Diceros bicornis minor: one gene and its partners. Each later gene encodes a partner of the first gene's protein in a complex. Links are inferred from orthologs where the notes say so. Each region holds a gene or a part of one and is shown in the gene's direction. Other genes may lie near its edges. The genes, in order: PLRG1, BCAS2, RBM48 and CWC27.

Region 1 (7,938 bases):
AATAGGAACAGCTTTTGAAAAACTATACTAAATCGTTGTTGGTCTCTGTGTGTATTTTTCTTTTCTTATCCTGAGCTCCCGTTTGAGAACCACTATCCAAGGGGAGATGCTGTCATTGGTTAGCCACCTGCAATGGGAAGGCATATTGCAGGGAAGAAGAGTAGGAGCTAGCTCTGTGTCTTGTGGAGTGTCTCCCTCTATTGACTTGAAAGATGTCAGTTTGCTTTTCTTAAGGGATCCAATACAGAGCCTGGCAATAAAGGAAAAATAGAACATTTTCTCCTTCAACCTAATGCTGATCACAAGAGCTAGAGAAAACACAGAGTTGCTCTTCTGCTTCTGTCACATTGAGACTCAAATCCACAAAGGGTATAATCAACACCTGTTGGAGCGCTGCTCCCTTCCCCTGGAATGACCCCTAAAATGCAGAAGTGGGGCTCCAGTGGTCCTGTTCACGTTGTGATACCCTTACCATCGAGCCATAGGTGACTGAGCTATGGGCAGACCCTGTACCAAGCCAACCCTACCGGCTTCTCTCCCCCAATTTAATGTTTGCAAAGGAAATAAGCAGAGAATCAGGTCAATTGGCTTCATGTCATATTCATGGCAGCATTCTAGAGAGAAAGTCTACCAACTCCAGCAGCAGAAATAACCAAAACTTCTAAACGTGATCATTTGATTCTTCTGTCAAACCTGTGAGACACCTGATGTCCTCCTAATAGTACCTATGTCCCTGTTATCTTTTGGTGAGTTAGGCTGAGATGCTTCTGGGGTTTGCTGAACTAATCCAAAAGAAAAATCAAGATCAAATTTTTAAGACTCAGACTGACTATTTTTTTTAAAGCATAAATTGCACATTAGAAAGAGAAGCTGTATTTTCAAACTGCAATAAATCACAAAAAGTTTTTATACAGTAAGTATATAGCATCAGCAGTAAAACTCTGTAGAAAATGAAAACTTCTATTTTATTTGGAGTATTTTAGTAACATTCATTTAAAAAATCTTTCAGTATTTAATAACTATTTCTTGAATTAAGAATATTTTCTGTAAAATGTGCTCAGGATTAGGTTAATGGCATAACATACATATTTATAATTTTGAGTCTTCTTATCCAAGAAAAAAGTATGCATTTTCATTGATTCAAACCTTTTTTTATGTCCCTTAAGTTTTTTTAACCTAGGTCTTGCATATTTTTCATTTATTGCTGTTTTAAATAAGATATTTTCCCTATTATATTTTTCAACTGCATATATGAAAGCTTGATTTTTGAATATTTTTTTTGTACTCAGATAGCTTAGTGAACCCTTTTATTATTTCCAGTAGTTTTTCTAGTTGATTTCTTGTTTGTTTTTTTTTCAGGCATACCATCATACTGTTTGCAAATAAAGATAGCTTTGCTTCATTATTGCTATTTTATACTGCTTACATCTTCTTTCATCCAACTGCACGACTAGTACTTTCAGGAAAAAATAAGTGTGGACGATAATGATGAATAGCAGGAATTCTAGTTTTGTGGCTGACTAATGAGAATGTTTTTAATGTTAATCTATAAACTTGATGCTGGCTTTTGGTGGTATATTTTTAAAAGAAAGCCTAAAAATGCCTAAATTATAATAGTAAAATATTCAAACCATCAAAATGCCTTAATCTTCTTAATTATTGACGTCAAGAAGTTTTTCTGCCAACTAAACCCATTTTTGCAAATGATATATTTTTACCAATAAATTAGTATCTGATAACTTAATGTCAGAATTAACTTTTATATAAACTAAATAAAATTTGGCACTGACATGCCTAAATACAATGAAAAATATTTCATTTTAATAAAATTTACAATGATCAGAAAGACAGACCATCCTCATACAAGCAATTCACTGCCTTACACACAGATAAGGGTTAAGTTAAATTAATGGTTGTTGAAATAGTAGCATCTTTTCAAGGGTGAGCACATACCATATATATCCAGACACACACAACATCCTTCCTACAGATTTAATACCTGCAACCCCACATCAAAATTAAGGTCTCAACACCTTCCATCCCCATATTTAAGTGTCTAAAACTTAACACCTTACTTATTCAATCATTCAACAAATATTGAAAGCCTACCAGTTGCAAGTCAACTAGATACTGAGTGTGTAATAATGAATATCACACCATACTGACCCCATATGTCTATTGGGGAATACAGATAATTAAACAAATATACTATCAAACATGGTAGCGTATGAACTCAGCCAAGAAAACTGAAAATGTCACACCGCTATTTTTCTCTGTCAGCATAAACACTGACATATTTTTGCAAAATAGAAACACAAAGACAAATTATGAGTCATGATCATGTTCAATTTTGATACTTGTTTTTGTGACATGGATGGGACTTCATAAAGTAGAGGAAGGCAAAATTGTGATAAGCAACATTTCCCTCCTCGCTCTCTCTGTGTCACACACACACACACCTTGCTAAGAAGTTTATAACTCATAGTGCAGCTTAATCATGTCCCGGGCCTTGCCAGGCATTAGCTGGAAGAATAGCTCCCTCACTGTCTCCTGTAGTTCCAGAAGCTTTCTTCTCAACTGTGTTGCGAAAAAGCACTTACCAACACTACCTCGGCATCTGGGTCCATTCTTAGCATTGTAATAAGCAATCAAAGACCAAACTTCTGGAAGAAATGCCCAAGTATTCTTTTTCACAGGTTCTGACCTCAGGAATTCAAAAAGAAATGATAACTTCCACCATTCCTCCCTTTTAAATTAGTGAGGAGTTGCAAATCTGAAATTCATGGGAAAAAGGACTCAGTGAGCCAAACAACTCTAAAGAATATGATATATAGAGTAGTGTCTAAGAAAGATTATATATTTAACCCTCTAAGCTGAGAGAAACAGTAAGAAGAAATAATAATATTCATCATTTTTATCAGCATAAAAATCAGAAAACTATTCCTATAAAAAATCTGATAAAAAGCTGATGAAAATGACTGAAATCTTCACTTATGTGACCTATCACTACTCAAGGGCAAATGATACAAGCATTTGAAAGAGAATAAAGAGATCGCCTGTATTGATGAGTAAAAGAAAGTAGCTTAACCAACGAAAGGAGGACTTCCTTAAAATTTGTACTATTGTTTTCACACAAATAGACTTAATAATATTTACATTAATAAATTAGTCACCATGCCTGCTCTGGGGACAATCCTCCTACTCTTATGAAGAGCAGCAGTGACCCCTACTGCTCAAATAAGGCAGCTCTCGGTGTCTGCCAGGACAGGGATTCTTAACCTGTTTTGGTTCCTGGATCCTTTTATGAATCCAAAGAAACCTACAGATCTCTTCACCAGAAAAAAATTCAGGTTTTTATATATATAAAAAAATTTGCAATATACGTAATTACATGAATTACAATATACGTAATTCATGGATCCCTGACATAACTAGGGTCACTAAGCTCTATCTATCCAAAACATTCAAGTAGATAATATAATTTTGTAGATTCACAAGAGCTTTTTAAAAGGAGCATAATCTAGTGCAATTTACCTCAATTATTACAATTATTTTATGAGTTTGGGCTTATAAATTTTTTTCAGGATTAACTAACAAGTTAATAGGCCCAACTAGATAGTTATTATATTGCCTTAGATATATTAGAATCTTGCTTACATTTCTATAACTTCATTGCTATTTAAAATCATGTTCTTTTGTATAGTTATTACTATCTATAGGTAAGTTACAATATGATTCAGTTTCCCAAGTATATATTTTATAATTATGGCATTTCCTTGCCAAGGCCTATCATCAGAAAATCAGTTACAGAAAATCATTTCTTAAGCCAAACTCACCCTCAAAATCAGAGATGGCTGTATTTTTCAAGTAGAAACATGACCTTAATGTTTTCAATGAATTAAAAAGTATTAAATTTCTAAATAAGATTATCAATTCACAAAGCTATACTTCTGATAAATTTCCCCCCCATAAAGTATATGCAGTATGCTCTGGGGACAAGATGAGTTGAATTGGTTATGGTTAAGGAACAAGCAGATCCAGTGAAATGTTTGTCTATTCAAGTTTGCAAACGTTCAACTCCATCAATTTTTGTTTTTACATAGAAAAATAATCGGACAGGATTGATCACAAACTGCAGAGTTTACCTGGATAGGAAACAAAGCAAAATACCAACACTTGGGCACCAGGATGTGTATGAATAAAAATGGCGGAAGTCTTCAGTTGTATCTTTCTTACACCAGAAAAGCTATACCCTGGCATTGTTGAAGCCACGTTAATCAGCAGACAACTAGGAAATAGCCAAGAGTTATGCAGTTCTGAGAGATTAGGGAAAAGAAATCTATTAGTGGAAAATAAATTTTGGATTTTGTCATATGCTGTTAAAATTCTTTTACAAAATTTCTCAAATTGAAACAACTATTCTGCAACATTCACTCAACAAGTGTTTAGTGGACAGTGTCAGTGGGATTGTTTTTAGGCATTAAGGCTACAAAGGCGTCCAAATGCGTCCAGTCAAGTTTAGCCAAATAGTGAAGTCAGGCGACATAAATAGCGGAGGCAACCCCCAAAGAGGGCAAGACAGTGGAAAAGCCTTACGGCTGATGGAGGTTTGCTCTCTCCAGACCTAGAACTGATTCCTGAGGTTCTATGAAGAAAAAGCATTAATCTCTGGGGAACACAGCACAAACTACACCCCTAAACCGAAACAATTAAGGCTGAGAGTAAGGCAAAAAAACCGTCGTCTCAAAAACTCTTCAAAGAGGAGAGTAAAACCTTCGACCCATACATTCCAGTAGCTTCCGCTTCTCAGTCCCGAAACTCCGCCCTAGAGGCGGCCCGAGAAGAAAGACCCGCCTCTCGCCGCCAGAAGGCCTGTGGGCCAATAGCGCGCGTGCACGGAGTTGCGTCACATCCGGCGCTGGGGCGCCCGATTCCGGAAGGGGCTGTGCAGTTGTGGCGGCGGTTTCTGCGTTGGTTAGTGTTTCTTTTCTGCGGGAGCAGCGAGATACACAGCAGCATCATGGTGGAGGTAAAGTGACGCTTGGGTGGTTAGGAGTAGTTTATTTCTGGACTGGTTTTCTTTGGCGGCGGGCTTTGTGGATCGAGGGTGTTGGGAGTCTGGGGAGAGTAGAGGCTGCGAGGGGAGCCTGTTTGGCCGAGGCCGGGGAGTCTCTTCTTCAGGTGGGAGAGGCTGGATGAGAGCACGAGTTGGAGGTTCCGTCCTGGCGGGAAGCCTGAGATAATTCCTCCCGTCCTCATTTGATCCTTGGGCACTGGACCTGGGCACTGTCCTCGGAGGCAGGACTTCTGTTGATGTTCCACTGCGGGTACTCGCCCCCTGCGGGGTAGTGTCAGTGATTCTGTGTCCCAAGAGACTGGCGGTCGTCTCTGATGTTCACATTGTGTCTTAGTTCAGCCCTTCCCCAGGAAAATCTGCCATTCTTAAACTTTTGCAGTTTTCCTTAGCTTGAACAACCATTCTATTAGCAGGCCTTGTCTTATCTCAGAAATATTTCTTGATTCTTGTCCATACCTGCTGCCGTCACCTTAATTCAGACCAACATCATCTTTCTCCTGGACTGGTGCAGTAGCTCCCAGCTGGTCTCCTTGCTTCCATTTTTGTACTCCCCTCCCCCCATAAATTAATCTGTTTAAAATATACGTTGGTCATGCTTTTCTTGCTTAAAACCTTTTACTGGCCTTATGTTACTAGAGCAAAATTACAGATTGTTGCAATGGTCTAAAAAAGCTTACCTGATCTGGACCTTGTCTACCCTTGTAACCTCATCTTGCATCACAACCCGCCCTCCCAGCGAACATATATAACTGCACAGCTCCCGGCATTTTTTCATTTACTGAATACCTTTGTACATCACCTTTTCTCTCTGCCTGGATTGTTTTCTATTCTGTGCTAAGCTGACTTCCTCTTTCTGCTTAAATATCACCTCAGAGAGATTTTTCATAACTATCCTAAGTTCTTCCTCTGTTCTCTGTCTCAGCCCCTTGCTTGTTTCCTTCATAGCACTTATCAAAATGTGGAGTTATTTTGCTTATTTTTATTTGTCTGTTTCCTCTTGAGCACAGGGACCATGACTGCCTTTTCATCATTCTCTTGGTAGCTTCTAACACAGTACCTGCCAGACACATAGTAGGAGCTCAGTAAATATTTATTGAGTAAATGACTAATCTCAGGCATCACTCAGTTGGTATACCTGGGGCTCTGGCCAAAGAGGAGCTTCCTCCTCTTCCCTGAACTTGACTCTTATAGTTTGCTGCAAATAGCTGTGGTGAGTGGTACGAAGTTTTTTACATATTTTAACATGTAACGTGTATAACTAATTTGACTTTAATTTAGGTTACAATGTATGTAATTTGTAGCTAGATATATAATTACACTGTTTCTTTCTAGGAGGTACAGAAACATTCTGTGCACACACTTGTGTTCAGGTCACTGAAGAGGACCCATGACATGTTTGTAGCTGATAATGGAAAGCCTGTGCCTTTGGATGAAGAGAGGTAGGTGTAGTTCCTTTTCAATTGCTAGAATATTTAAACTTCTAATATTGGGGGAAGAGAGCAGGGAGAGGGGGAACTTTAAAGATTAGTGAGTAATACTAACATAGGATATCTATTCAATAATGAGTGGTGTTTGGGCATAATTTATGCTGATTTAACTTTTTTTGGCCTTATCTTTTACAGTAAAACTCCCATTAATTAATTGCATTTTACAAATACCCAGTAATTAGGAGAGTCCCTTCTAGGTGTTATATTTTATAATCAATCACTTTGTATGTGCTTTCAGCTTCCCGCTGCTCTCAGAGCCTTGCTGAGCTGAAATTGTACCTGGCCAGTACCTCTACTCCCATCTTTTCTCGTTAGTATGGTGAAGATTTTTGAGTGGTGGCACATTTTTGGTTCTACATCTCCAGCTCCAGTCTGGGATTGCATTATGTGCAGTGTTCCTTCTTTGTCCTTTACCTTCTATTAAAATCTGCTTAGTTCCTCAAACAAGCATATATATATAATTTATAAGGTAGACTATTCTTAAAAGTAATATAATAAGTGCATTTCTTTTTAAAATATTGAAGTAAGTACTTTGATTAGTTCTAACTGACTCTTTTAGATACACATCCAGTAAACATTTCTGTGGAAGCTTTTACTATATTTTTATATTTAGACATTTGACGGAAAGTTTATTGACTTTGAGGTTTTTTTAAAGGATATATTAGTTTCTATATATTTTTAAATCAGACCCTTGATAACTCATCATGAAAGATTTTATATTTATTGGTTAACAAACTGAAATATTACTTAGACTTAATGAATGCTAAGTGGTGGATTGTGAACAAAAGTGTGGAAATGCACTTGGAAATTTTGAGCTTTTTAAAATCTCTTTAACTTTAAAATCATAATAGAAACTTTTTCTACATGATTAGGCAAACTTAAACTATTTAAGTACTTGTTTCCTGGCTATCTGTGAGTATATTTACATTGGTGAGTATGTTTAAAGTACTCAAAGATACATTCTTCATGTTTGTAATTTTTAAATAGTCACAAACGAAAAATGGCAATCAAGCTGCGTAATGAGTATGGTCCTGTGTTGCATATGCCTACTTCAAAAGAAAATTTTAAAGAAAAGGGCCCTCAGAATACATCAGATTCGTATGGTCATAAACAGTATCCTGCCAATCAAGGTGAGTATGGTGTTGTCTGAAATGTCAGGACTTACATGTGAATTTTAAAAATAGAAATGTGAAACGTCTTATTAGTGCCCCTCCTGGCAGGATTAATTAAAGCCATATTCTATTTAATAGCTGTACCAGTATTATAATGGAAGTCTAGATTTCCTCATTGAAGTAGTGAGTGAGATTATTGGTTGGTGGACTTTTTCTTATACAACATAAAAAAGTGGTAGTATAATAATAGCAGAACTTCTTA
Region 2 (7,521 bases), on another chromosome or scaffold:
AGTTCTCCCTTTGTATTTAGCACTTGAAAGGCTTGAAAATAATATAAATAAAAAATAGCATAAAGCTACAAGGGCTCAAAATCTGAGTTGTTTATTATGGGAAATATTTATTTTGTAATATTATTTTAGCTATGGAAGTACATTGGTAGTGAGACCAGAGTTTCATTTAGTTGATTTTCAGTCTTGAGTTTTGGACAATTTCACCAACATGAATTTTCCTTGTAGGTTTGTTTGAGGTCCGGGCCCTCCAGTATTTGGAAACAATTCCTGAATCTGAGCCCAGTGGGGTGAATAGAATTTTGCGGAGTCTTGGTGAGTTGCTGAGTTTTCCTGTTAGATAAATGTGGCTGAAAAAGCTTTTGCAGTAAGCATGCCTCATCACAAAAGCTTTATAATCAGATCAACAATGTAACCTCAAGTAGGTTGACCAGAAACCATGACACTAGTTCCAAAGTGTCTTTTGGAAAAAAGAAGTCTCTTTCTCAGAGGTTGGGATTATCCATCAGAGTTGTCCATGGGGCTGTTTTCCACAGATAAACCTCCCTCATGATATAAGAATTTGCATATCATGAGTATTATTCTTTTCTAGGTCACATCCCTGAGAGAATCTTATAAAACTGCGGACCTTTTTCCCAGGAAAATATACTTGGAGCATTCAAACAAATTTTGCATATAAATTTAGGGTGTTCATGGACCCCCCCTGAAGCCCATCCATGGACTCCACACCTGGTTTAGGGCCAGCCCTGGTGGCCTAGTGGTTAAGTTCAGTGTGCTCTGCTCCGGCGGCCCAGGTTCAGTTCCCGGGCACAGACCTACACCACTCGTCTGTCAGTGGCCATGCAGTGGCTCACATACAAAAAGAGGAAGATTGGCAGCAAATGTTAGCTCAGAGCAAATCTTCCTCGGCAAAAAACAAAACAAAACAAAAACACCTGGTATAAAGGAAGTCTGAGGCAAAAGGATTTCCTGCAAGTCTGTAATTTTACACTTCATAAAGAAACACTTTATGATTTTTCAATTTTAGTTAACTTTTAATTATCTAGTATGATATAGGAGAACAGTAGTGTGGTAGCCCAAAACATGAAGAACCTATATTCTATGATATTTATATTGGTCTTTGAAATATATCTCCCTAATTAAAATTAGGCCCTATCCTTAACTAGCTGAGAGACCATGGACATATTATACTTCGGCTGTTATTTCATCTTTATACCACGGGGTTAGATAAGATCAGTGGTACTCAGCTCTGACTACAATATTATAATCTCTGGGGAGCTTAAATAAAAATCATTCCCCCCACACCCTGCTCCCCCTGGGTCCAAGAAATCTCTGGGGAGCAGGCCAAGTGATTTTACCTACAGTTAGGGTTGAAAACCACTGGATTAGATGATGTCTGAGTTCTCTTCCACCTCTACAATTAGACACTTGCAGAGTTTTTTTTGGTGGTTAAACACAGCTGATAGCTTGAGATGGCAGCTTATTCCTGGGCTGTTCTGAATGACGAGGTTGTTAATCTCTTGCCTCAAATAATGTACAATAAATAAAAACAAACTAATGAGAGTTCACTCTACTTTTTTCTCCTTTTAGGAAGTAAAATGAAATTTCTGCAGAAGAAATGAAATCTTTGATTGACTATCTCCATCCTAAATAGAACAGATAATGCCAAAGAAAATATTTTCAGAAAGTCAGGATGCCGTGAAATATTCTACAAAATCCTTGAAAGTTGAAAAGGTTACCAAGTGGGCCAGGTTCTTGGAGGAGGATTCTGCTGTTGCTGCCGTAGTAATCACTGGAGAATTGTTGGGAGTAATCTGGAACCAATGCTGTCTCTACTCTGCCTCCGATTTTCTTTAAGTATTTGATTCTTGGGTTCATTCTTTGTGTTTTGTGCTTAGACTATGAAAGCACTTGAATTTTACAAGCGAAAGACTTAGTGTTGCATTTTTTAAAAAAATAGCTCAAAGATGAGCACAATGAGAGAAATGCTGAGTTTAAGGTCCTAGAGAGGCATGCTAGAAGTGGAGAATACTAGCCCTACACACATAATTCTCATCACTGAAACACCATGGCAGCTTTAAACCTATGGGCTGTTTGAGCTGAGCTAAGGAATATACTCATCATATATATCCTTTTTTTTTTTTTTTGTCTAATGTTCTGTCTAGGGGAATTTCACTTATGCAGAAGCCCTATTTATTAGCACTATTACTGAGTATCTTATACAAGTAGACATCTTGCAGCTCCTCCACATTGTGTGGCACTTGAGTAGCTTGTCCCTTACGTGTCAACATTAAACTTTGTGGAATTATAGCTAATAAGAATATGTCCTTTCAAGGGCATGAGAACTACCTTTTGTGTGTGTGTGTGTCCGCCATGTGCCATGCACTATGGTATATGTATGTGTGTCACCTTATTGATTCTTTAGATCAACTTTATAAGATATTTGCATCTCCATTTTACTAATGAAGAAACTGGAATTCAAAGAGGTTAAATAACTTGCCCAAAGTTATACAGCAGAGCCAGAACTGAAGCCAGGACTACTAGTTTATGAACACAGAGAAAGTTGGTTAGTCCTGCAGATGGAAATGTGAGCTCTGTGGGATTATGTAGCTATTGAAAAAGTTTTCTTTTAAGCCGAAGTGTACCAGAGGCAACTCTTAGGGACTTCAAACTGTGGGTGCCTAGATAAGACTCTTTTTTGGTTCCCCTAGATTCGGTGGACTTTTTGCTCTAATTAAATTGGATTCAGAATATGGATATTTTCTGGGCACACATGACATAATCACGCCGACCCTTAATATCTATCTAAAGAAGTAGTAGTGATTGGAAAGGGGAATTTGTCAGTGATGGTACAATTTTCATTGATAAATACTATAGCAAGTGTCAGTTTGTTTTCTTCTATAGCAAGTGTCAGTTTGTTTTCTTCAATTCCTGCTGATGGTTTTAACTGGCATAAAAAATATTTATTCAAACTTAACAAAACCTTACAAGTTGCGTTATGATCAGTTTATTGACTTGTACAGTGTTGTCATTACAACCCGTTCAGGTGTGCATGAATGAATCTAAAGCAGACATCATTTAAGACTGGTGCTGTATATTATAGTTACTATAGATGTGGGTCCAGAAAATAGAACTGAGCCAATGTCTTTTAAAAAATGTTTATTAAGCAGCTTACCCCAGTGGGGCTCTTACCAGACATCTCCCCATTTGGTCTCTTCTGACACTCCAACCCTGAGGGGACAATTAGTAATTGGGAATTGAGTGTTTATAAAATGGGGGTAGGAGGTATTACTATGGTAGATCCTGGCCAACCCTATGTGAGGGGACCTTTGCTTCAGGGATGGGGGTCTTATTTTATCCGTGCAATCTGAAGCTGCTTCCTTTTCTTAGGCCTGTCTTATTTTGTTTTTGTGAAGTGTTATGAATTCTGGACATGTTTGTAAAAAGAATTGCTCAAGATTTGCATAAAATGTTGTTTACAGATCTTTTAATGAATAAACACAAAAATTCCATGGATCTCTTGGAGAATTTTAAATAAAACTGCATAAAATGTAGACATCTTTTACTTCCCTTAAATCTACAGCTAGCACATTTATCTAATGGTAGGTTAAAAGATAACCCAAATCGAGTCTAGATTAACCAGACTTAATAACCGTGGCCAACATTTCCAGGCTCCTGACAGACAAAGCCTGGGTCTAGGACTGCACACCGGGCAGGGTATATATATAGTCCGACTATGTATAGTATATATATATATATACTGGGAGCCACCGACTAGAGACAGTGCACCGGGAGCAGCATGGGTGGTTGGGAGGCAATGCGGAGCGCTATTCTATTGCTGGAAGTCTTAAAGGCAAAATGATTGGATTTGATATGCGTCTTGAAGATAAAATGACAGGATTTTGAAAAGTTGGGGTTGGTGGGCTGTTATCAATCTCGCCCTGGGGGTAGATCTGGTTCCTTTTGTTACGCAGACTCCAGAGCTTCGAAATTTTAACTGGAGACTGGCGCCTACTTCTCGAGTCTGTGAAAGAACTACACTTATCCAATGCGATGGTTCTCTGGGCGCCGAGAACGAAGAATAGTGGAAGTACACCAAGGAAATCCAGGAGAGAGAAGCCTGGCACAAAGTAAGAGAAGTTTAAGGGGAAAAGGCGGAAGGTTAGGGGAGTAAGACGAGGTAAGAAAACACTCTCTTCCCGCCAAATCCTGCAGCCAGTTCCCTCCGAAATTTTAAAGGATTCCCCTCCCAGGTATCAGCGTTCTGGAGGAAACCAAAAGTCTTAACTACTCTCCAAACTGCTGCCAGTCGGAAGCAAAAAAGTGGAGCGTGCGGAGACAGGAAATTGAGATGTTCCGCTGACTCTAGGAAACCATGTCGTGACGTCACGTCCGACCAAAACAAAATGGCCGGGCAATTCCTAGTGCCTGGGCGAGCGTGCCTTCGGCATTAGCAACTGAGCATGCGCCAAAGCCACTGCCCAGGCGACGTGCTTTACGTCGGTGATGGGCGCAGGCGTATTTCGGTGGGCCTGAGTTTGCGCCGACTCAGAAAGCCCAGGCGAGCTCAAGAATGGCGGGTACTGGTCTGGTGGCCGGAGAAGTTGTGGTGGATGCCCTGCCGTATTTTGACCAAGGTTATGAAGCGCCCGGTGTGCGGGAAGCGGTGAGTTCGGGGGTGTCTGTGTTGCTGACTCAGCGCTCGCTGACCCTTCGTGCTGAAAGAGGCGCCTTACAATTTGCTGGCTGTACCCTGGTCCCTGTTCTCCTTTTTAGGCTGCGGCGCTGGTAGAGGAGGAAACTCGCAGATACCGACCTACTAAGAACTACCTGAGCTACCTGACAGCCCCGGATTATTCTGCTTTTGAAGTAAGTGTGATGTCTTGAGCCCAGCGTATGAACCAGGATCCTGTGAATCGTTCTTTTGGGTTGAGAGCCTTAGCCACGTAAAAGTGAATTTTAAATTCCGGCTTTAACTATTGCTTGCTTAGCTACTACTTCCGCTGTTATAAGGTATCACCAGCGCATTGAAAACCGTTAGATAAGCTTCTTCTGGGGTTCTTATTCTGAGACCCACAGAAGGACTTTCTGGAGCTGTCAACAAGCTAACAATGCAAAAATTAGTGTGTACGTTTTTCCGAGATGGGTTCCTTGCGTAAATTCTCGAAGAGATCCTTTACTCTCTAAGGTCCGCTCTAAAACAAATGATCTAGGGTTTTTTAATATATGTAAGTCTCATTGCCTAAGCTCTTGAGAACCACTGGAGGGCGGCGTTTAAGTGCACCCAAGATACTATTCAGGGTCTAATCAGCTAAATGAAGTGTAAAATATCAATTCTAAATTAGTGAATTCTGGTAAACATTTTAGTACATACATGTTTGGGTTTTTTTCCCCATTGTAGGTAACCATTTATTTATGAAAGAATGCTGTTATTAAAACGCAGTATTTAGGGCTGGCCCCGTGGCTTAGCGGTTAAGTGCGCACGCTCCGGTGGTGGCGACCCGGGTTCGGATCCCGGGTGCGCACCGACGCACCGCTTCTCCGGCCATGCTGAGGCCGCGTCCCACAAACAGCCACTGGAAAGATGTGCAGCTATGACATACAACTATATCTACTGGGGCTTTGGGGGAACAAATAAGTAAATTTAAAAAAAAAGGCAGTATTTATGTTGAAGTAACGTGAAAAAACATTGGTTAAGTTTTAAGTAGGAGAGAGATGTTGCTATGATACGGTATTTTCCCATGCTCTTTCTAAATGTTGTTACCTAGTTATAGTCATTACCACATTAAGAACTAAGCACAGTAATGCTTATTAGATTGATTTCTGAAAGTTTCAGATAACTGCATTCAATCACAAACTTTTAAATATTTGAACCAGGGCTGGCCCTGTGGCTTGGTGGTTAAGTGCGCGCGCTGCGATGCTGGTGGCCCGGGTTCGGATCCCGGGTGCGCATCGAGGCACCGCTTCTCCGTTCATCCTGAGGCCGAGTCCCACATACAGCAACTAGAAGGATGTGCAGCTACGACACACAACTATCCACTGGGGCTTTGGGGGGAAAAAATAAAATAAAATAAAATCTTTAAAAAAAAAATAAATAAATAAATATTTGAATCAGTTTTAGCATTTTTAGCTCTCTTAAATACAATGCATGCTTCCTATCTTTATAATTAGTATACTGATTATGTAACCCTTTTTAATAGTAGGAGCTAATAGTGTACTGGGCTTACTATTTCAGTCCTAAAAACAACCCTGTGAACTATGTATGTGTATTATCCCAATTTTTTAAAAAGGGAAACTATAGCTGAGAGAGGGTAACTAATTTGCTTAAGACCTTAACCACTCTTCAAACTGCCTTTGAAACTGTTCTTCTTTTAATTCATTTAACAATTATTCATGAAGGGCTATTCTATGCCAGGTATTGGGGAACAGGATGGGCAAGGTCCATAGTCATGGAGCTTATATTCTAGAGTGTGGAGACAGACAAATAATCAAAGAATATCAGATTATTAATAAAGCTATATAGAGGATTGTAAAGTAGTGATGTGATTTGGAGTGACTGGGTGACTATTTAGATAGGATGGTTGAGGAAGACCTCTCTGAGATGAGAATGCTCCATGGACAGGGATCTTCTTTGTCTTCTTCTCCACTGTATCATCATCATTTAGAAGGGTGCATGGCACACAATAGGCACCTAAATGTTTATCAATTGAACGTACAAAGAGCTTCTAAGACAGTTTTATTTAACGAATGCTTACTGTGTGCCAGACATGCCCAGAGCTCTTTTCATGACTTAGCTCCATGAGTGTTGGCTCAGTCTTTGGAGAGAGTTGAGTTAAAATTCCAGATCTGTCTCGTACTGGCCATGTGAGTTAAGTAAGGGCTCCTGTGTTACATGGCTCCAGACTGCTTGTACTGCATTTTTATAGTTTCTTATCTAATTGTTAGTTGTTACTCCGTTTCTGTTACTGTACATAGCCTTCTAGCTAGAATGCTAGAGCTACATGTAACTCAACAATAGTCCGAAAAAAGGCTTTCTCCAATAAGAAATGCTCGATGCAAAACTTTTAAACAAGGAATGTGTGATTCCAGAAGGCCTTTTTTGCTTACTCTTTAGTCTAATTGTTAAGATAGTTGAATCCCTCGAAAAATTAAAATTACATGAGATAACTAAGATAATACCGTAAATGAATATTTCACTTAAGCAATTCTGTATTCTCAGGGCAGGAAATGTGCAGAACTCTGTGGAATAGGATATTGACCAAAACATTGGACCTAAAGAAGTTGAGCTATACCACATTTTTTGAAAATAGTAAAATTATTAGAGCAGCTAGCAGAACCAGTTCCTTTTGTCTCTTCCCCCCTTCTCCATTCTTTGCAAAGAGTAAAGTGTGAAAATAGCAGCCTGAACCAAAAAGAAAGTATAAGTTTAGGCTCATAGCCCTAACACTAATTGTTTTATGTCCAAGTCCTTTCTTCTCTTCCCTTACCCCCAGTGAATACTTAGAACCATGGTTCTCAACACTT
Region 3 (7,691 bases), on another chromosome or scaffold:
AAGAGTGAAGGCGACCAACCCTCCAGGTGCTTTCCAAGGGGCTTCCTCAGAGTCAGTGATGTCTAATCCAGATCAACTCAGGTCATACGAAGAAACATTTAAAACCAGAGGTTAAATAAAGAAATATGAAATACACTCTGAAATATCAAAAAAGAGAATTCCACCAACACACTGGAAAAAGGAAAAATCAACTTTATTAAACAGGAAAAATACTTCAATTATTCATTTGGTCAAAATGTAGTAACCAGCTCCATCAAGTCATAACACATGTTTAGTGGGATTTAGTAAACTTTGCAGACTAATGTCCTCAGTCCATTTTTATGTCAACAATTTTTCACTTGAACCACAGAGCCCCTGGGCACTCAGGTAGAGAGGAGGAACAAACAGACTGGAGAGAAAGGAGTCTCTTTTCCAGGAGATTAATCAACAAATGATTGACTGCCCGCTTTTGCCCGAACCTGTGTGTAGGGCTTTGCCTGCTCAGCAATAACCTACGTGCCCTATTACAATCCTGTGTCCTCCTGGCCCCATCCTGGGCAGGACGCCAACCAGCTGGGATGGCCTGGCCAACCCAGATCTCACTCAAAGAACATCATGTCTTGAAGGAACACAGAGCCCTTCCACGTGAGCTGCTGTTCCAGGGAACGCTGGCTGCACCAAGGGCAGTCTCTCTTGGCAAGCACATAGACTTTGTCCCCTGCCTATATAAACAACCCCTCTCTGCCCACAGTAGCAGGTGCACAACTCTGTCCAGCCAGCTGCCCCTGGACACTCCCTATACATAAGTCCCAATAAACCTATATGTCTCGTACGCCGTCTCCAGGTCTTTTCTCTGGTCTCTTCACTACCTATTTCACACTCCTTGCATAACTGGGTGTGTGGCCAGACACTGTGGTACCTGGCCAGGTCTGAGGCCTGGGTTATCTCTTGCTAACACAAAGGAAATGACAAATCTATACCCGGCCATTTCTGGATGGCGATTTAGGTTCATTTGTTTGCATTCAGCATGGATACAAATCCTTTCCCCCGTTAGCAATTAGAGCAAGCAGTGAGCCCAGAGTACAGACAAAGTAACCGACCTAAAGCAGTGGTTCTCAACTGAGGGTGATTTTGATCCCCAGGAGACATTTAGCAACGTCTGGAGATATTTTTGGTTGTCACTACTGGGCGGAGGGGTGCTACTGGCATCTAGTGGACAGAGGTCAAGGATGCTGCTAATTATCTTACAATACCCAGGACAGGCCCCCACAACAAAAAATTATCCAGCCTAAAATGTCAACCGTGCCAAAGTGACGAAATCCTGAGTTAAAGGATCTACTGCGTACCTAATCCTGAAACAAAGGCTTGGATAAACAAAAGAAGACAATACTTGAAACACAGAACAGAGTGTAACAAGTGAGATGTGTCACATAAACAGCACTGAAGTTCTGAAAAGGAGACAAATGTGGGCAAGAGAGAATCTGAAAGCTATGTGGAGGAGGTAGGATTACGCTCAGTTTTTAACAGCATGGAATAAGGAAAAATGTTTTGGGGAAGAATAGTGTGAGTAAGAGTACAGAAGTGGAAGAGAGCTGGGTGAGAAGTGAGAAGGCTAGTCTGAATGACACAGAGTGAGTTCTAGACAAGATGGCAAATTAACAGCATGCAAATGGTACCAGCCTGAGAGTGCCAGTTTCCTTATGTGTACAGAAATGACCTAGACACCTAAGGTCCCTTTCATCACCAACATCTATGATTCTAGAAGAGTGAGTCTCAACTCTTTTGTGCATCCAAGTAGCCTGAAGATATTTTAAAAATTACAGATGCCTGAAGCCCACTTCCCAAGATTCTGATTCAGTAGGTCTACAGAAGGGCCAGAATATCTGTATTTTTCAAAGCTTCAAGGTAAGTCTCACACAGGCCAGAAAACCATTGTTCTGACCCTCTTACCATTACAGCACTATGTGTATTATGTACTCAATACTTTAGCCCAAATAATTCAACCTACTAACTCCCAACTCGTGACTTTCTGCTTTAATAATTATCTATGCCCTCTAAACCAATAATTCTGAGAACCTAAATAACCAGAAGTGAAAACAATGTTTTATAAACAAAGATATGCTATTTTTTACTTTTTATTTACTTATTTATTTCTTTTGGTGAGAAAGATTGTCTCTGCAGTAACACCCGTGCCAATCTTCCTCTACTTTGTATGTGGGATGCCACCACAGCATGGCTTGATGAGCAGCATGTAGGTCTGCACCCAGGATCCGAACCCATGAACCGCGGGCCTCCGAAGCAGAGCATGCAAACTTAACCACTACACCACCAGCCAGCCCTATTTTTAACTTTTTATTAAAATGTAACTACAGTATCACTTTTAATGTCTAAAAATTGAATACAACATATATGTTTAATCACAGTGAACAATTCAACAAATTATGGCAAATTGATGATAGAATACTAATTAACCACTAAAAATGATGATTACCTTTAACTGTATATGCGTGTGTGTGTAGGACTTCATTTCGTTAAAAATAAAGATTAGAAACAAAACTGGAAGATGTGGCCCAAACTGCTAATATTAGTTACCTCTAGGTTTGGGGATTATGGGTAACTTTTATTTTCTTGTTTATAATTTTCTTTGTTTTCTAAATTTTCTATGAAACATATGTATTAATTTTATAATTGGGGAGAAAAGTTGGCCTATTCTGCTGATGTAGGCTGGATAGAAAAAACAATTCATTCCAAGGCAGAAAAGATTTAAGTTTCAAAAGAGATCCATGAATTAATTCTTATGAATAACTTTTTTTTTTTAAAGATTTTATTTATTTATTTTTTCCCCCCAAAGCCCCAGTAGATAGTTGTATGTCATAGCTGCATATCCTTCTAGTTGCTGTATGTGGGACGCAGCCTCAGCATGGCCGGAGAAGCGGTGTGTCGGTGTGCGCCCGGGATCCGAACCAGGGCCGCCAGGAGCGGAGCGCGTACACTTAACCGCTAAGCCATGGGGCCGGCCCTTATGAATAACTATTAAAGGGTCAAAATTTAAAAGAAAGATCAAGACCACTAAATTCTTAAATAGTGATGAATGTAACAGAGCATCCACATCTTAAGATCAAGTTATTAGAGTTGCTGTAAAGAAGTATTCCTATAAACTCATTAGGTGGGGAGTCTATTCCTATAAACTGGTTAGGTGGGGATTTGAAGGCATGTTGAAAATCTCCATCAAAGCCCAGAGCACGGGGCAGGGTCCACCTGAGACTTGCTGCCACTAACTAACTCGTTTCCAGCCATGAAGGAAGCTCATCAGGGCCAAAAGATCGTCTACTTTATGGTAAAAGAAATAACGGAAGGATCTGCTGAATTTGGTATGCTCTAAAAGGAGGGAGGGGGGGCGCAATAATCTAGAAAAATAGTTATGGGGAAGTAGCTAACGTGGAAAGGTTGGATACTTGAAATTACTGCAAACTCTTAAATATTTCCTGCATGGATTAGCCAGTGGTGGATACCATGCATCCAGGATTTCCGAGGATTTCCAATATTCTATCCTTTTGTCCCCATAAGCACACTCAAACTCGTACACTAGGTGCCTCTAGTTTTAATTATGAAAATAGGCTGATGTTACTCCACCAGTGGTTAGAGGTATGAACCACCACCACCACAACGTCCACCAGGGCGACTGACAGCAGAGGTTCAAGTATACCTAATTACATACATCCAAATATGCATAATCCCACTGCACATTCCTGGCACCCCTCGGAGGTGTTCTGAGTGTTGGAGACACAGAGAAGAACCTTCATTTTATTAACCTATCCCGCTCACGGGACACCGTGCTTAGTCCCTGTTAACCTACAGGGGCTCCGCGAACATATTTGCACACCACTCCCCCCCGGGGGCCCGGACCACAGCAGTGCAGGCACCTGGAAATCGCTGCCGGGGAAAACATTTAAAACAAAAACAAAAACGACTTCTCAAGAGCTTTTCCAACCTGGAGTGAGGATATCTGAAGGCAGAGGTAGAATATTAGGATGTTTGAAAGCCCAGTTTCACCGAGTGAAAAGACCTGGAATGAGGCAAGGTAACGCGAAGACCCGGGGCTGCACTGGACATGGAGAGGGCTGCAGACACTGCCCAGACCGGCCCTGCCCTCGAGGGGCCCTCCGACTGGCTTCTGAAAGCTCGGCGGCGCCGGGAAGGCAGCCCGCGGCCGCGGCCGGGAGAGGCCTGAGCGGCCGCCGCGTCCCTGCAAGACCTCGGCCCCGTCCGACCCCAGACTGCCGACTAGGTGCCCCGAGTCGGGGCTGGGAACCTCGTCTGGGGCCGCCGCGTTACCTGCAGCAGGTGCAGCTGGGCCACGAGGCGCCGCGGCAAGTGGAGGAAGCAGTCGCGAGCGTTGGTGAAGGCCACGGTCACGGCCACTCCGCCTCCCCCCGCAACCGCCAGGCGATCGCTGCCCCACATCGTCAGCAAGCCCGGAGGCCCCGGCCGCCCACGCCAGCTGACGCCGGACGCCCGGGCAGGCCGAGCGCCTCGGAGCCGGAGGCGGCCGATCGCCCCGCCCCCTGTGCCCGCGGCGCCTCTCGCCGCGCTCCGCTAGGGGGACGGCCAAGCAAGCCTTGTGCCGCTCTGCGCGCCTCTCCGCCGCGCCGCTGGGGGCGGCACCTCTTGCACCGAGTCCTCGCTCGCAGGAAACGATGGCCCCCCGCTGTCGATTTCTAGCCAATCCCGGCACGCCTTGACCTATCCCTCTCTCTTATTGGATACACGGCAGTGCGGCGAGGCGGATGTTGTCGTCTTTGCAAGAGCCCAAACCGGCAAGATGGCGTCGAGTGGTCGGGAGCTTGGGGGCGTATTCGACCACCACGTCCAGCGGGCCGTATGCGACACAAGGGCCAAGTATCGGGAGGGGCGACGGCCTCGCGCTGTCAAGGTAAAGTGATTTTGGTTTCCTTCGCTGTCCTCGGTAACTTTATGTGAGCTCTAGCTCCACAAGCCTAGTTTACGTAAATAAAAGCTTGAAAGGCTGCGGTCATATCCGTCACTCATTGGAGATGGGTATGAGTAACACTGGTACTCAGGTACCGAAGATTCTCACGACCCTTTTGGTCAGCTGCTAGAACGTCAGCTCCGCGAGAACGGGCCTTTATTTTAGTCACTGTATCTTCCATGTTTACAGTAGTACTTGGCATACGGCAAGTGAATATTTGTTAATTCTTTCCAGTAACTTCTACGGAGCCCACTTCTGGAATACATGTCGAAGGAATATTGTCTGTGCTTTAGTTAGAGGCCCTCACACGTGGGCTGAATTATTCTTTATGCAGAGAGAGGGGCAGAATTTTTGATTTGTTTCCTGCAGACCGACTGAACAGAGTATTTGTTGTTTTCAAAGCTTTTTTAAAAAACAGCAGATTTGTCCTAGGCTTATTTAGAAAATACGTTTAATGTGTCTGCGTTTCTTTTAGGTATATACAGTCAATTTGGAATCTCGATACTTATTAATACAAGGAGTTCCTGCAGTGGGAGCGATGAAGGAATTAGTTGAGCGATTTGCTCTATATGGTGCAATTGAACAGTATAATGCTCTAGATGAATATCCAGCAGAAGACTTTACAGAAGTTTATCTTATTAAATTTATGAATTTACAAAGTGCAAGGTAATATGCCAGTTAAGCAGTGTCTCATTTCCTCTATTTCCATTGCTATCATTTTGGCCCAAGGTTTCTTTTATTCATACCTGAATTACCCAATAACCTAACATGGCCCTGTTGTATTATCTTCCTCCTTTCTTCTTGAATGTTAGCCTTGTCAAAACTATTTCCATCATGTCATTCCCATGCATAGCAGTTTTCTGTCGTGTAGTGTGTAGATTAAAAATTGGGTTTGGAGTAAGTTTTCCAGTTCCCCTACTTACTAACATCATGACCTTGGACAAGTTAATTCCTTTAAGCCTGTTTTTCCTATTCTCTAAAATCTATGTGGTAAAAGGGCCTACTTACTGAGGTTGTGTGGAGATGAAATGAGATAATCCCTATAAAAGGCTTAGCATAGTGCCTCCTGTTTAGAACGCAATAAACATTAGCTATTGAGGTTCTTATTGTTATGTGCCTATGAGGATGGACCCCATCTTTTCCAGCCTTCTGTGTAACATGAACTCTCTGTTCCAACAAGGCTGAAGTATGAAATGCATTGTCTGTTTTTAGGTATACCTCTATTGTTGTCACTGATTTGCTCCAACACCCATCCTTCCCTGGCTATTACAATTAATATTTTCTTTTCTGTGCTACAAATAGCAGTTGTAGTCTGCCACAAAAACACTTGATGGGATCATGTATTGTTCTCAGGTTGCTCTTATATGTAATCTCACTGCCCTAACCAGCTTGCCAGCTCCTCATGGTTAAGGAATTACCTTTTCTTTGTATCTCCTGCAGCACCTAGTACAGTATGCTGTGGAGTTCAACATTGGGATTTGAATCCTAGGTCCATAAACTAATGTGAGTGTGGCCAAGTTATAAATCTCCCCAGTCCTCAGTTGTATTATAGGGTTGTTGTGAAGTGTTGATTCAAGTGAAGCACTTAGGACACTGCTTGGTGCATGGTAAAATCTCTGTAAGTATTTCTTTTCGTTATCCCTGGGCATATAAGTACTTAAGTATTTATTATAGTAGTGCCTGGCCAGTCGTAGTTGTTTAATAAGTGTTTGTTGAATGAATACTATTCTCTCATTTTCTCGTTGATTAGTTATATATTCAATATTTCCTCAATTATTGAAAGCTTTACAATTACAGTATTTTAATTAATTTTTTATATATGAATCCCTTTATAGGAATACATTGTGCTGAAAAGGCTAAATTGGGTATGAGCTAACTCTGAAGGGCCATTTAACTTAACACAGAGAAGATTTCTATTTCATGATCACAGACTGTGTACCTCCGGCTAACTGCTGGATCCTGAGCTGGTTAAAAGGAGTCTGGATATGTGTGGATGACTTAGCTCAAAACCTGTTAACACTATTGGGAGAGGGCAGGGAAGGCTCTAAGAGTATACACTGAATCAGTAGGGTCAATACCATCCATAAGCAGAGCCTCTTAATCCCCAAACCATGGGATGTACATACACATAGCAAAAGCTGGACTTTGGTCTTTAGATCAATGCATTGTATACTAGTTAAGCTTTCATCCTAAGTAAATCTAGATTAATCAGCCATGCTATCATGTACTTCTGTTTAGGATAGCCAAGAGGAAAATGGATGAACAGAGTTTCTTTGGTGGATTGCTTCATGTGTGTTACGCTCCAGAATTTGAGACTGTTGAAGAAACTAGAAAAAAATTACAAGAAAGAAAGGCTTATGTAGCAAGAACTACTAACAATAAAGGTATGGAAAGCCTGTTACTAAACACCTCCTATGTGTCAGGGCCTCTGCTAGGTATATCATCATGGAGCTCTCAGTCTAGTGGGAAGAGAGGCAAGTAAATGATCACAATATTCAATAACTGTAAACTACAGAGTTCTGTGCAGCAGTCTGCAGAACCTGGGCTGGGAAGAGAGAGAGGCTGCTTGGTGGAAGACTTCCTACAGGACGAAAGAGGTGGCTGAGTTTTGAAGGATAGGGAGATATTACCCAGAAGGGGAGAGGAAGAGATGGAAAGGTTGGCCAGGTAGCATGTTTAAAGGCCCAGAAGAATAAGTGAGCATCATACATTTTAAGGAACT
Region 4 (7,110 bases), on another chromosome or scaffold:
CTTCCCACAGCCAGATACGAACAGTAAAGGAGGGACAGTGATAACAAAAGAGCGTAGGTAGAAAAGCATAGGATAGGTTCTGGGCATAGCTGGCCAATTCAAAAGATTGTAGAATGCACGAGAAAAGTGGCAGGAGGAAAGGGTAGCAAGAGCGATGAGGCCATGCCTAGGAGGGTGCACTTCATTCTTGCAGAGATGTGGAGCTTAGAAGTGAAGGTTAGAAGTGAAAGAAAGCTTAGTCATCAACTCCTTCACTACAGAGACAAGGAAACTGAGTCTCAGAAAGGTTATGCCGGTTGAAGAGAAATACAAAATTCACAGATATGGGTCAAGAACTAAGTTCCTGCCTCCCAGGAATCAGAAACATGATTTAGGAAAATTATTTCAGCAGCAACGTACAGCATAGACTAGAGAGAAAAGAAATTATGTATAGTATAGTTTAGGAGTAAAATGGATGTAGTGTAATTTAGAATTCTTCGATTACTAAGATGCTGTAGTAATGTGTTTTAAGAATATGACTCACTTTGATATGTCAGATGCAATGTTAATTTGGCTGTAGAAAATTCCCTTTCTTGGCTATATAGATTTCACTGAAGGAGAGAAAAACAGTTTTTGCGCCAACCACATCAGTAACATCCATTGCCACCTGTGCCAGGTCAACTCTTGATGGGGAATGGTGAATCATTAACATGAATGTCAGAACTAATTTCAACAGTTGTGAATGGGAAAAGCAGTATTTAAAAGAAACTAAACTTTGCTGAAATCTGTGTTTAGATGTCATTTCTTTAATAACACTAAGCGTCTCTGATTTCTCTAAGAGAACACACATTTCGTTGTGTTACCTACATAATGGAGCAAGCTGACACACAATTCTGTGCAAAAACAGCTGAAGTAGGTGACCATAAAACAGACAAGGCTGATTCCCATTTGTGGAAAGCAGCCTCATTACTTTACAGTTGTTCCTTGTAATAATCACCAGCAGGACCACCCACAAAATGCCATGATGAATCCATATGAGCATTATACCTAAAAATAAAAGAGCATAACATAATACTTGTCCTTTTTGATGATTATCTCAAAATGTTTCTGATGGAGCCCCATTTTCCTTTAATACACTGTCTGGATCGATCACTCAAGAAATTGTCTTGATATTTTCCATATCTATATTTTCTAATGGCACTCGCATTGTACTTTTACAGCGCTGTCATACCTATTATCTCAATTTTTGCTGGGTTTAAACAGTTTATCTATGTCTGGCCATCTAGCTTAATGGCACAATTTAATATTATTATACTTTGAAGCATTATTTTGAATTGAAAGAAAGTTAACATAACTATAACACTGGTCTAAGTTTAAGGGAATTTCAATAAGGACAAAAAAATCACTTTTGTCCTTTTTCTTAAGCAGCACATTTTCATTAGCAGACAAGTTTTATGAGGGCACAGACCATGACATTGTGTCCCCGAAAGTGCCTATACCATGTAGGTGCTCAAAATGCTTAAGTCATGAAACCAACAGTGACAGCAGGTCAACTTCGGACGCAGCTGTGTGAGGCAAAGATCACCAGGGCTGATCTGGCAATCTACTGTGCAGACTGGCCTTTCCCTGCTGGCCGTTTCCATGTTGATATTCTCCAGGCTTCAGCCACAGACCTTCCCTTCACCCTCTACACACTCTACCTGAGCAAAGGCATCCACTCCCATGGACTTAACTCCTATTATATGTGTGGATGACACCAAATTGTTCTTTGACTCGGGCTTCTTTCCTAAGCTACAAATTTTATCCCTTATTGTCTATTAGATATTTCCATTAGTATGTCTGACTATACCTCAACACAAGGCGCAAACTGAAATCATCATCATGCCGAAACCTGCTCTTTCTCAGGTGTTGCCTATGTTAGTAAATAGCCCCACCTAATTGCCTAACAATGAAACCCAGGTAATACCTCATTCCTCTAGTACTCACCTACATTGACTACATCACCACCGATTCCTAGTGATTCTACCACCAAAAATATATCTCCAGTCTATCTGCTTCTTTCTTCCTAAGACTGTACCTGAGGTATCATTGTAACTTACCAGAATTACTCCTAACTGGTGACTGTGCATCCAAACTAGCTCCCCTCCAACCTACTGTGCAGCCAGAATGATCTTTCCAAAATGTGAATCTGTTTAAAAACCTTAAATGACTTCCCCTGGTCCTTAGGAAAATGACCAAACTCTTTGTTATGGCTTACAAGGTCCATTAAGAGCTGGAAACTACCATGTAAATGACACTATAACAGGGCAAAATGGATAAGCACGTGGGGTCTAGAGGAGCCAGACTGATCTGTTACTTACTAGCTGTATCAATAGGCAAGTTACTTGATTTCTCTGAGGCTCAGTATCCTCACTGTAAGATGGAAATATTAATATCTATCTCACAGTGTGGGTGTGCATATTAAACTAGATGAAATACAATGCATGACACAGTATCTGACAGATCTGACACATAGTAAATGTTTAGTAAATATTAGCTACTGTTATCATCTCTCTAGTTAATGTCTCACTTCTCTCCCATTTGTACTCTGAGTTCCATGCATAGGAACATCTTCATTTCCTCTTCTCACACATTTCTTCTTCCTTTATGTATCTAGTCCCTCTGGCTGCAACTTCCCCTCCTACCACTCCACCCCTCCTGCATTCTTCAAGTCTCATCCTAAATGCCACATCCTTTGGAAAGTCCTTCTGTGCACTCCCTGTCTCCTGTTAGATGCTCTTACTATGTGCTCCTGAAAGCTTTGTATTTTCCCTACCATACACTTGTCTGACTTTCTAGTACTTTCTCCTTACAGCCAAATTGTAAATTCTCTGTGAAGAGCAAGTGTCTTGCTCACCACTGTATTCCCAATGCCTAGCACACAGTAGGCACTTAACACAGATTGTTATGTGTATGAATGAGTGTGTCTTTCCTCTCTCACAATTCCCCCCCACCCCCGTGCTCCTCCCCAAACTGCAGTTGGTAGAAAAGCACAACCCTCCCATAACAGCTATCTGTAAAATACGGTTCAGAAAAGGCTGCCACAGAACAAACATGCTCAAATAATACCGGGAAGGGCAGGTTAAAACAAGATTGGGGGGGCAGTAAATGAGGGGGGTGTATATTTCTCAAACTATCTCCTGCAACCAGTGTTCTGCAGAACACATCGCGGCAAAGCTGGTTTAAGGAGATGCCCTCCCCTTCTAGAACTTCCAAGTAAGCCGGTTGCTGTGGACGGGAAATCTCTCAGGCACTTATTTCGCAGGGTTCACTGTTTTTAAGTCAGTACCGACTGGACCCAGAATCTGAGAGCTGGAAGGAACCAGAGACATAAATCAACAAATCTCCGTTTACAGATGCAGACACTGAGGCCAAGAAGGGCAAAGCGACCGGCCCACGGCCACACAGCAACTGAATGCAACAAGCAGAGAGAGAAGAACCCCAGGCGCCCATCTCGTCCCTGCGACTTGCACTACAAACAATGCCTCTGGCCGCTGGGGTCGGTCTTTCTCAGCCACCGGCCCCTGGGCCTACGGTTACCGTCCCCCTCTCCTCCCCATGCCACCCTCCCTCCGCCACGACGCACCGGCCCCGTAAGCCATCCAGCGCAACTGGAGCTTGGCTGGCGCAGGGGAGATCGTTTCTTTCTTTCCTTCCGCGTTTATTTCCGGAGTGTAAACTTTTTCACGTAAACCACACGAACCTGTTAATTTTAACGCCTCCGCTTAAATCCCCATGGGCGCCACTCCCTGGTCCAGCGCGCCCCAACCTACCCTGCCCTCTCCCTTCCTCGCCCAGACCCCGGGGCCTGCCGTTGCTCGTCACCTGGGACTGCCATGGCGCTGTGAAAGGGGTCGCAGGAGCCCTAGGATTTCGAGAGCGCGCTCGCTTCCCGCCGGCCGTGAGGACAACGCACAGCTAGGGCGGCCTCTTCCTCCCACCCGCGCCGCGGCTCCTAGATGACAGTTCGGGGGGGGGCCCCTATAATTCTCTGGCGATAGCGGAACCAAGTAACCACTGATCCAGCTTCCGGGGGACGCATATTGCAGCTCACTCACGGTCCGAACCATTACTGCCAGCTTCGGGAGGTGAATGAGACCTGCACACGCATGTAGTGAAGTAAACAACACCAAGACTTAACGGATCGTTCTTTTTAAAATTGTAATAGAAATTAAATTAATCTACAGCGGCTTAATAATCTTTTCTCCTTTCTTGGAGGCTATCAGAATCCCCCTTCTCAGGGTTAGCGGTGCTCGGGTCCGGGAACAACATGGCGGCGCCCGTGAGGAGCTAGCTTAGGGAAAAGATAGCGTTTGGCGTCGCTGTCTTGCAGGATATTGACAGACTGGAGCTTTCCGCGACCACCCGACTTAAGGAAGCCTGTACTAATAGGTGGACAGCTTTAGTGATCGGCCGTCCGCTCTCATCCCCAATTGAGAGCAGAGTCTTGAGGACTGACCAGCATGAGCAACATCTACATCCAGGAGCCTCCCACCAACGGGAAGGTGAGAGCCTCGTCTGGGATACCTGGGCTCCCCAAAGTGATACCTCACTGACGAAGGGAGTCCTGGGATCTTAGGGTTGTGAGAGATCACAAGAAGTCTTGTTTTTACCCCTGCCTCTGAACAGGATTGCCTGGAAACCATCTATTGGCACTTCTCAGCATATACTTGAAAAAGTCCTCAAGGGAAGATTGATTTCTCCATCTACCAGCCTTCTGGCCCTATTTCTTGCTTTAACCTAACTCATGCAGGTGTTTTCTAGAGTCTTAGGTAAAAACCTAAGTACAAATTAAAATTTGACATTTTTCGCATAACTTAGAGATGGCTCTTTCTCCGTTTATTGAACGCCAGCTAGGCACCGGGCACTTATTAGGTTCTGGGGATACAAATATAGATGGATAAGGTCTAGTTGTTGCCCTAGAAGAGCTTATGGTTTAGTTGGGAGGCAGGCAGGTAAAGAAAAGCCTTAGGATATGTCTGGTAGGTGTGCTTATGGAGAGAGGAGCACATTGCTGTGCTATTACGGAGAAGTGAGCAGCTGGGAAAGTAGGGAAAACTTCATGGAGGAGGTATCTTTTGAGCTGGTCTTAAAACATGAGATGATTGTTAGAGAAAATGGGGAATGGGAAATGTTCCCACATTAGAATGATTTCCTGATTGATTTGACAGTCAAGCTATGTCAATTCCCATCCCAGGTGTTTTATATGCAGTATGAGGCAGAGAACTAAGTAGTGGAAGGAATATCACCTGAATTCTTTTTTTTTTTTTTTTTGTGAGGAAGATCAGCCCTGAGCTAACATCCATGCCAATCCTCTGCTTTTTGCTGAGGAAGACTGGCCCTGAGCTAACATCCGTGCCCATCTTCCTCCACTTTATGTGGGATGCCTTCGCAGCATGGCCTGACAAGCGGCGCGCGCCCGGATCCAAACTCCGGCTGCCAGCAGCAGAGCTCACGCACTTAACTGCTAAGCCATGGGGCCGGCCCTGGCCTTTTCTATCTACTTTCTATGAAATAGCAAACCTCATTCATCTCCTGCATCCCAGCATTCCCTGGCTCCCTAAACCCTTTTAGTTTTTTTCTGCAGTACTTATTATTGATTGTTTATTGTCTCCTCCACCTGCCCCCATAAAATGCAAGTACTGTGAGGGCAGAGACCAGCATCTAGAAGGGTGCTTGATACATAGTAGAAGGAGTTCAGATATGTACTGGATGAATGGATGAATGGATGAATTAATACTATGTTTCTCTTAACTTTTGAGAAGTATTAAACATCAGTGACTTTGGGGTTATACTGCTGCTGGTCAAGGGCAGACTTAGTTGCTTTACTCTGGAGGAAGATTTGAGGTGGTCATAAAGATAAAAAGCTTTAACAAAGATACATGCCTGAACAGGAGATCTTTCATTCAACAAGTATTTATTGAGCGCCTAGCTCATGTGGATCTATGCTAGGTTTTAGGGATACAATGGAAAGAAAAACCAGCATTGTCTCTATTATCATGGAGTCAGTTGAGTGAAGTATACATTGACCGAATAATCATGCAAATAAGTCTGTGCAAACTGTGATCAATACAGTCTTTCTTCTAAACAGAATTGGGCTGAAGGAGAACATAGGCCAAATTTTCCTTCAAGCACAGTTTGGGACTTTTTTCCAGCTGAGGGGTGATTGAAGACATTGAAGCTTCAAAGTTCTGTACTATAGAGAGTATGGCAAGAATTTTGGCCTGGAATGAATTTAATACAGATATAATAAGCTTGCTCAATGAATGTTAGTTTAGTACCTGTGGTGTCTAATGCTACGTTAGGTACTGAAAGGATACAGAGATATTCAGAATAAATGGGACAAAATTCCTCCCTTCAAAGAGTATAGTGTCAACTTGGGAAGTAATTGACGTATTATACCAGTGGTTGACCCCTGGCAATTGTCCATAAATGTGCTGTGTTTTGCTGTAATGCTATAACTCTGGCCTCTGAAGATGAGGCACAGAAATATACCACTTGATAGAAATTTCCTTATCCACTGGAGATGAAATCTCCACATATTATGATCATTTAATCTAAATTATATATTAACATGTGTTTATTCTTAAGAAGCATTTTATTATCAAAGTATTGTCTTATTTGGGAGCTCTAAGAAAAGGAGCCACCGACGCCTGACAAAGTAGTGATGGTGAAAGGAGGGAGCTGTGTGCCTTCTTTTTTAATTCAGTAGCTTCTTGGTGGAAAGATTAAGAAACCCTGGTAAACAAGGTGGCCCAACCATGTATGCATTCTTTTTACTGGATGTAAGTTTGCTGTGGCCAAAAACATTGTATGAGAATAATAATTACAACAATACTAGCTACCATTTTTTGAGCATTTCCTATTTGTCAGGTACTGTTCTAAGTGGTCTACATATATATAATAACTCATTTTGGCCTTGCAACAAACCTATGAGAATATGCTTATGCCTGTTTTTAGATAAGGAAGTTGAGTCACAGAAATGTTAGATATCACACCCAAGGTAACGAAGCTAATCTTACCTTCGTAAGTGGAATGGTCAGTATTTGATTTTGGGCAGCCTGACTCCAGAATCTGAAGAGGGAGGGCTGA

What was found.
Region 2: PLRG1 (region 1) and BCAS2 share a complex: the UniProt entries of both Homo sapiens proteins name them as parts of the PRP19-CDC5L splicing complex. The link is inferred for Diceros bicornis minor from reciprocal best matches to the Homo sapiens genes PLRG1 and BCAS2.
Region 3: PLRG1 (region 1) and RBM48 share a complex: the UniProt entries of both Homo sapiens proteins name them as parts of the minor spliceosome. The link is inferred for Diceros bicornis minor from reciprocal best matches to the Homo sapiens genes PLRG1 and RBM48.
Region 4: PLRG1 (region 1) and CWC27 share a complex: the UniProt entries of both Homo sapiens proteins name them as parts of the minor spliceosome. The link is inferred for Diceros bicornis minor from reciprocal best matches to the Homo sapiens genes PLRG1 and CWC27.

Annotation. Positions count from the first base shown.
Region 1 is NC_080750.1:42,618,168-42,626,105, reverse strand, and holds the start of PLRG1 (pleiotropic regulator 1), read left to right. Parts: upstream 1-4,929; 5' UTR 4,930-5,020; coding exon 5,021-5,029; intron 5,030-6,409; coding exon 6,410-6,516; intron 6,517-6,802; exon of another isoform or gene 6,803-6,874; intron 6,875-7,551; coding exon 7,552-7,694; intron 7,695-7,938. UniProt on the Homo sapiens protein: Involved in pre-mRNA splicing as component of the spliceosome. Component of the PRP19-CDC5L complex that forms an integral part of the spliceosome and is required for activating pre-mRNA splicing.
Region 2 is NC_080743.1:47,233,660-47,241,180, reverse strand, and holds the start of BCAS2 (pre-mRNA-splicing factor SPF27), read left to right. Parts: upstream 1-4,520; 5' UTR 4,521-4,570; coding exon 4,571-4,663; intron 4,664-4,773; coding exon 4,774-4,866; intron 4,867-7,521. Other genes in the region: DENND2C (DENN domain-containing protein 2C), read left to right, coding at 226-312, 1,588-1,619. UniProt on the Homo sapiens protein: Required for pre-mRNA splicing as component of the activated spliceosome. Component of the PRP19-CDC5L complex that forms an integral part of the spliceosome and is required for activating pre-mRNA splicing.
Region 3 is NC_080742.1:29,967,030-29,974,720, forward strand, and holds the start of RBM48 (RNA-binding protein 48), read left to right. Parts: upstream 1-4,675; 5' UTR 4,676-4,801; coding exon 4,802-4,912; intron 4,913-5,444; coding exon 5,445-5,635; intron 5,636-6,398; exon of another isoform or gene 6,399-6,573; coding exon of another isoform or gene 6,574-6,587; intron 6,588-7,207; coding exon 7,208-7,353; intron 7,354-7,691. Other genes in the region: peroxisomal ATPase PEX1, read right to left, coding at 3,971-4,045, 4,315-4,443. UniProt on the Homo sapiens protein: As a component of the minor spliceosome, involved in the splicing of U12-type introns in pre-mRNAs.
Region 4 is NC_080759.1:12,125,625-12,132,734, reverse strand, and holds the start of CWC27 (spliceosome-associated protein CWC27 homolog), read left to right. Parts: upstream 1-4,105; 5' UTR 4,106-4,481; coding exon 4,482-4,523; intron 4,524-7,110. Other genes in the region: protein SREK1IP1, read right to left, coding at 3,844-3,856. UniProt on the Homo sapiens protein: As part of the spliceosome, plays a role in pre-mRNA splicing. Probable inactive PPIase with no peptidyl-prolyl cis-trans isomerase activity. As a component of the minor spliceosome, involved in the splicing of U12-type introns in pre-mRNAs.